2 linked regions of the Caenorhabditis elegans genome follow. The protein of the gene in region 1 interacts with the protein of each later gene in a pairwise test. Each region holds a gene or a part of one and is shown on either strand. Other genes may lie near its edges.

Evidence for each region. The genes of interacting proteins can lie anywhere in the genome.
Region 2: the proteins of sem-5 (region 1) and R08E3.3 interact in a two-hybrid assay, tested with the Caenorhabditis elegans proteins (3 studies listed by BioGRID).

The regions. Positions count from the first base shown.
Region 1 is NC_003284.9:7,959,742-7,963,497, reverse strand, and holds the start of sem-5 (Sex muscle abnormal protein 5), read left to right. Parts: upstream 1-1,774; 5' UTR 1,775-1,785; coding exon 1,786-1,863; intron 1,864-1,913; coding exon 1,914-2,014; intron 2,015-2,185; coding exon 2,186-2,308; intron 2,309-2,355; coding exon 2,356-2,463; intron 2,464-2,511; coding exon 2,512-2,648; intron 2,649-3,147; coding exon 3,148-3,287; 3' UTR 3,288-3,756.
Region 2 is NC_003284.9:4,816,821-4,820,576, forward strand, and holds the start of R08E3.3 (CCDC22 N-terminal domain-containing protein), read left to right. Parts: upstream 1-1,772; 5' UTR 1,773-1,797; coding exon 1,798-1,847; intron 1,848-1,901; coding exon 1,902-1,964; intron 1,965-2,020; coding exon 2,021-2,132; intron 2,133-2,182; coding exon 2,183-2,309; intron 2,310-2,365; coding exon 2,366-2,478; intron 2,479-2,886; coding exon 2,887-3,153; intron 3,154-3,200; coding exon 3,201-3,323; intron 3,324-3,370; coding exon 3,371-3,484; intron 3,485-3,532; coding exon 3,533-3,634; intron 3,635-3,700; coding exon 3,701-3,756.

The DNA of each region.
Region 1 (3,756 bases):
GGGTTAAGTTTCTGTTAACGATACAAATTCAGAATGTTTTACTGAGAATGTTAATCTATTCGGTAAATCGGCGCCACTTCTCAACCAACTTTAGCCATTTTCTAACTGTCATTTGCAAAAGTGGCAAAAGTTGGTTAAACAGGGTTTTTACGCTCTAAGCAACTAGAAAAAGTGTGTGAAAGTTGACGAAAGTTGGTCGAGAAGTGGGAAGTGGTGGAAATCTAATGGCAGTTAGAAAGTGGCCAAAGTAGGTTGAGAAGTGGCCACGAGTTGCCGACTACGGAACCTAGTAAATTTATTGACAAATCAGTCACATAACCTTGCTCTTGGAAGTTCACACTGTAAAACAGTGAGAATTTTCAGAAAAGTTATATGGATATATTTAAAGAACCAGTGACAAAATTTAATATTTTGGTTCTTAAAAAAGTTAATTTCAGTCATATATTAGTTTTACTATAGATACTGTTCTTACGATTTTGTATTAGTCAGGTAAATACACATTTGTCAAACTAACTAGTAGTAAATACAGTTGGTTTCCAGCTAGAAAACACTATTCCTTATTATATTTACGTACACTCACCGATTAAAATGTCAAGTATTTATGAGTAACTGTCACAGGTTCGATTATCTTTTTTATATCGGTTAAATTATAGTCTTATTTCGTAATTTTCATTAAATTTTTTAACTGCTAAATAATTTTCCAGCAACTGAAGTTCAAAAATTTGATTGAAGTTGCAATCTATTTATGTTTCCTATCTAATTTATCATCTCTAGCCCTATTTCCGAAATAGTTTTCATTTTTATTTTTGAAAAGAGAATCGGTACTGACTACCCAGCACACCCAAATGTTTTGATTTCTAGACGGTTAGTCACCTCAGGCTGGACAGGACAAGGTGGGAGTGTGTTTGTTGACATTCTTCTAATCGATGAATTGCAATACCCAATGCCTTGGAGCATTTTCAATTTGATTCTTTCTTCTTCGTTTTCTCGTGTTCTCTTATCACTTTTCATTTGTTCTTTTCCGTTTCTCCGGCCATTCATTCAAAAGTGTAAGAAAAGACGTGCATGATGACTGCTGATAGCGTATCGCACTTTTTTCTCTGAATCTCCATTTGAAACCATGTAAATTACAGAACTCATTGCGGAAAACAGTACGGTCCGGCCTGCCCAAACTCGCCGTTGTTTTTGTGTGTGTGTGGGAGAGACAGATAGAGACAGTGCGAAGATGGGAGAGAAAAAAGAGACACGAAGAACGCGTGATAGATTTGGAGTATTAGAGAAAAGTAGTGTCGTAGCATTCGGCACATTTAGTGTTGCATACAATGCGCCGGAATCGACGACACTTAGTGTTGCCCCGGTTTGTTACTCTCCGGTTTCTACTGTTTCCACTGTTTCCCCGTTTTCACGTTCAAACACTCAACTAAAACCACCTCAATCACCGAACTAGTGACCCTGCGGGTTTTTATTTTGCGTTCTGCGTTTCTCAATTTCATTTATCCTTCTTTTTTCTCGCCGGTCCTCTTACTCATCTCCTGTTACAATTTGCACTACGCTCTTCTCATTCTCATTTTCCCTCTCAGTTGTTCCTCTATGCTTTGCCGCTAGATTTTTTTATTGCTCTAATAATTTTTCATTGGCGCCGCGCGGATATGTCGATATGTAGATACAGTCTCTCAAGCAGGCCAATTTATTGACAACAATGTTTGTTCAATGTACTCTGTTATGTTTTATTTTGGTGTTAATTGTTTCTGAAGCTGCAAAGAGTATATTTCAGGTAGCGAGACGATGGAGGCGGTCGCCGAGCATGATTTCCAGGCGGGATCACCTGATGAGTTGTCTTTCAAGAGAGGAAACACGCTAAAAGTTTGTTCAACAATATCATAACCGGGCCCTGATAAAATCAATAATTGCAGGTTTTGAACAAAGATGAAGATCCACATTGGTATAAAGCTGAATTGGATGGAAATGAAGGATTCATTCCTTCTAATTATATTCGTATGACTGAATGCAATTGGTATGTTCGGGAAAAAATAGTTTGACTTTTTTGAGGATTTAATCTATAAGCTTATATTTTAAAAATCAGTCGATCTTACTTCTCGCGGTTTTTGTTTGTATACCCCGCAGCTAGGGCGCGAAGAACTGAGAACGCTTGCGTAAACAATTTTTAAAATTTCTGGATTTTTAGGTACCTTGGTAAAATAACAAGAAATGACGCAGAAGTATTGCTGAAAAAGCCAACCGTACGTGATGGTCATTTCCTTGTCCGACAGTGTGAAAGTAGTCCAGGAGAATTTTCGATCAGTGTTCGGTAAGAAGATGTTATAGATTTTCAAAAAGTTATACATTTTTTTCCAGATTCCAAGATTCTGTACAACATTTCAAAGTTTTGCGTGATCAAAATGGTAAATATTACTTGTGGGCTGTCAAATTCAACTCTTTGAATGAATTAGTTGCTTATCACAGGTGAGTCACACTTTTTCAAAAAAAAAGTAAAAAATCAATAATTTTCAGAACCGCTTCTGTTTCGCGTACTCACACAATATTGCTGTCAGATATGAATGTGGAGACTAAATTTGTACAGGCCCTGTTTGATTTCAACCCACAGGAGAGTGGAGAGCTAGCTTTCAAAAGAGGAGATGTTATCACTTGTAAGTGTTTTTGAAACACAAATTTTCATGATTTTAAAATGTTCAATTGAAAGTTTGAATCAAAAAATTCTAGGTTTAATTGAAAATGGTAAAAATGGATATATCTTGGACTGTATTTCGAAAATTTTGAAACTATTCACTTTATAGATCTTAAAACAAGAATATTTAAGAAGAACCATAAAAATAACAAAAAGGTAATACAAAGTACTAGGAAGATAATATGAGACGTCTTGCTTAAACTAACTTTCACTGGAACAAATAAATGCACGTATTGAAAATCAGTTGTTAGATTAGTTTTTGTATAAACTCAAATTGAAATGAAAAAACTCTGTGGCTATTATTTACTTTTCGGAGAAACATTGGATTTCAAGATACAATTTGCAGCATTATGAATGTTCACAACGTAAAAATAGAGTTAATCGGTTGATCATCTATTTGTCGGGGTTGAGCAACCCCGAAAAATAAAACATTTAGAAAATCTCTTATATTTTATTTTCAGTGATCAACAAAGACGATCCAAACTGGTGGGAAGGACAGCTGAACAACAGGCGTGGAATTTTCCCATCCAACTACGTATGCCCTTACAATAGCAATAAGAGCAACTCCAACGTGGCTCCTGGCTTCAACTTTGGAAATTAGGACGTTATTTTAGGATTTTTCCTGTCTCTGTTCGTTCTTTAAAAGGAGCGTTCAATGTTTCTTCTATACCATTTGTTCTTGACATAGTAGTCTAATAAGCCCTCTCTTACTTAATCTCCAATAATAATCACTAAATCTTGTCACAAACACACTTTCCAATGCTGGGTATTAATTTCACAACTTTCTCAAAACTGAGATAAGTTGTTCGTGTTTTACATGTAGACCATGAATTTTCAATGTTTTTATTCTTTGCAACTTGGAACTGCCATTGGCAATGTTTTATCGATTTTTTGTTCGGTTTCGTTGGCAATGATACAATTCTTGTTGTGTTATCAACAGCCTTTTCTTTCCCGCTTTCTTCCAACCCCACACCAATTCTATTACGGATCTATTAAGCGATTAGATACTCTGACACAATACTCAGAGACTGTTCGCATTTGTTTTTTTTTGTGTTCATGCAATTTTTGTC
Region 2 (3,756 bases), 3.1 Mb from region 1:
CCTACAAAATGACAGGTAAGAAAAAAAATCCAAAACTGCTGCCAATCCAGAAAACGCTAAAGACACAAACAGTATTGCCATAAAACCGAGTAGGGGTAATCCATAAATCTGACAGATTTACAAATACCTTTATGATCGCTGGTGGATCAGAGCACTCAATCGACTGGGGATTACTGTTCTGCTCTTTGTCTATGTTTTGGCTCAATCTTCTCCAGCTGAGACCTAGCCAGCAGGTGCCACTATGAAACCACGAAAACATCAAAATTTTGAAATCGATAGTAGTTGTTTTCGCCAAAAAATGTACGGCCGCAAAAATATTGTACTCATAGAGTAAACTGACCTTTTACGGGTCGCCAACACATCCAGCTGTTCACTTTACGACCTTTTTCACACTTGTCGTCATTCCCACTATGGATGTTGTAAATCTGGCAGCGTAATAATGTAAATACACTAGAGTTCATTGATTCGGCGGAGATTTTTCAATTATCACTCTAGTGAGTCATAGAATTCTATTAACGTTTTGCATAACTGAAACTAGAAAAATTTTAAACAACATGCAAATTGTTTAGTAAATTCGGTTTTTCAGGACATCCATGCAATTGCCTTTTTGTGGGATTCTCTTTCTTAAGAGTTTTGCTTTTAATAGTTCCAAACAACTTATTGAAACAAACAATAACGGAAAATGTGAGAATATGGTTGCGATTGAGCAAATTTGAATTAAAATATCAAAAATGCAGACAAATGAATCAGACTCTAATTGGAACTTATATCCCCAAGAGACAATATTCCGCACTAATTTGTTTCTCTGGATCATGCTGTTCTTTTGAGTTTTCAACCAAACTGGAAATTGTCCAAACTATAAATGTATGCAGAAAATGCAATTTTTAATTCAATTGATGTCCATAACATATATTCGAGGCGGAGTTTTTCTCGAATTTCAGTGAAGTATAAGAAAAATTCTACCACAAAAAATATTTTACCTGTAAATCTGACTTTTGGTAATTAGTATTTTCAAAATATTTAGTAATGGAAACTTTTGACAAAAAAAAACTGAAAGTATAGCGACTGAGGAGCGTTTAAGACTTGAAAACACTAGGAATAAAATTCTGTTAGGAATTTTGCGGGCCTTATTTTTCAGGTCGGCTTTATATCAGCTCATAGTGTTTCTCTGTTGCGATACTTTTGCATAAACCTTTTTAGAGAGTTTTTTTAAAGTGAGTTTAAAAACTTTCCTTGTAAGTTAAACAATGCTTTATTGTCGAATTTTTGTTGCAGAAGTTAAGAAATGTGGTTTTTCGCCCTCGCAACAAAAATGGTGCTCTTAAAATGTGCAAACCTCAATCTTTTCATTTGAATTATGAAAAACCATTAATTAAAAAAAATTACTTTCAAAAGTTCAAAAATGCCTGTAGCACAGAAAGCTTCATGACATCTTGTTTTAAATTATGCTTAAATTTGCGCAAATATGATCTCGGTGTTTGTATTTAAGTAAAAATGAATAGTTTCACATTCAAAATTAATTCTCGAAAAATAACTTTCATGCCTCACAAATATTACCACCGTCACTAGGTCACTCTGTGTCCATCCCCCGTGTGTTGCCTTCTTTTTTAGACTACGGTAAACAAATGTCGTAGAATTCTGCGCATCGGACGCAATGCAGATTTTTTTCTTTTTCACTATCTATGTTTTACAAATTGTTTTTATTTGTTTATATACCACTGAAATCTTTTATCACTAATATATACATGAACATTTAACACTATTTATTTTGTTTTCAGGGAATTTCACCTGCGGAAAATGGAGGAAGCTGATGCTTTCATCAGAGACGCTTGCCGACATCTTGAGTGGTATGTTTTTTGTCTGAAATCTAATTTTATTCTTTAAAATATTATTATTTTCAGCTCGTTTGCTGATGAAGATGAAATAGAATTCAGCACACCTCAGATTTTTGAGTTTTTAGTAAGGTAATATTTATTATTTTTGATTTCGTTTTATTAATTTTTTATTCACAATATTTCAGATGTATTTGGAAAATAGATAATAGTAGTAAACAAACAATTTCGTCATATGTATATCCAAAAGTTATAACTACCAGGCTGCAACTTGGAAACGCAATTTCTAACTATCTGCAGGTAACGTCAACCCCTGACTAATCTCAACTTTATAATTCCTTTCATTTCAGAAATTTCACATTCGCGGAGACACCGCCCTTCACACAGTTTTATACGGCAATATCAACAATCTTCGCAGTGCATTCATTGAACTGATAAGGAAATTGCCGGCCGACGCACAAGAGGCCGTTTCTCTAGGTAAACACTAATCTTCACTTCATTAAAAAAAATTTAAAAAAAAAGATTGATTTCAGACCAGGGTCATCAGTTTCTGGAAAGTGTAGTCAAACACGAGAAATCACAACCAGAATGGGTTCCTGTGTACTGTCGTGGATTGAACAGAAATCGGGAATGGAAATTGCCAAATGTGTGTGGAATTTTTTTTTTGAAATTTGAATTGAAGCTAAACTCTGAAACAAAAAGCCGAATGTATTGTTGTACCGACATTATTCATTAATAATTAGTGTGAAAATATAGAAAAGACGATTTATCTAAAAAAAAGTTTCACTTTAACTGAAGCACTTGAGAATGTACTCAAAGGTAGCTTGAAATTTAACAATTGCCAATTATCGAATTATCAAACTTGATTGACATCCTTCATACCATTTTTGAGCACTTTTCAAATTTCTGAGCTTGATTGAATGCTAATTTCAAATTATCAAAACTTTTTTCTGGACTCTGACATTAATTGTCTAATTTTCTATGAAACAAACAGTTTTATTTCGAACAAGAACTTGAAAACTTGAATTTAGAGTTTTTAATCTATTTTTTTCAGAATACTCCGGAAACCTTCCCACTTTGCAACTTCAATAAACCCATCCCAAACTCTGATCCTAGAAAATGGATTTCGCAATACATAAACTCCAGTCACACAGAGAAAGACTTCAACTTCAAGCTGACAAAGCCTGCACTTCCACCAAAGCCAATTTTTGCCAAAAAAGTCGATAAGGAAGAAGAAACTGTTGAAGAAGCGACGGAAGAAAATAATGAAAACTTAGTTTTACAAGCTGAATATGAGCAGAAACTTGCAGAGTATAAAGCTGTTAGTTTGTCATTGAAAGTGTCAAAATTTCATACTAACTATTTCAGTTACAAGAGAAACGCTCGCAGTTTGAAGAGCAAAACAGAGAGCTCGAAAATAAGCTATCAAAATACAAGCCAGAACTTATTGAAGCTCTTGATGACCCAGAAGCATACGTTCAGAAGTTGATGGTTAGTTGCTAGGTACATCTAGTTTTGAGATAACTTTTCATTTTCAGGGCAAAATTGCTGAATTAAATAAGCAAATGGAAGAAGACACGCAGATAATTGAGAACACAAAACAAGCCAATGCTCAGAAGAAACTGCAAATGAGAGAGGAACTGAAAAACTTGGTATGAGAAAATTATGCCTTCAGAAGTTTAAAAAAGTTTAAATTCCAGGGTACGGATGATGAAGAAATAAGGCGAATTCAAGAAATGGAAGCAGATTTGGAAGGTGTTGATGAGAGGATTGAAAGTAACGTGATGTTAGCTGAAAAGCTTGTAAGTTTAAGTTTAATCAGCTGTAGCCAAAAAATCTTTGAATAACATATACGGTAATATTTTCAGAGAAAGAAGCTGTCAAAAATTGATGATGATGTGCAAAGCATGTACGTACTCGAGCA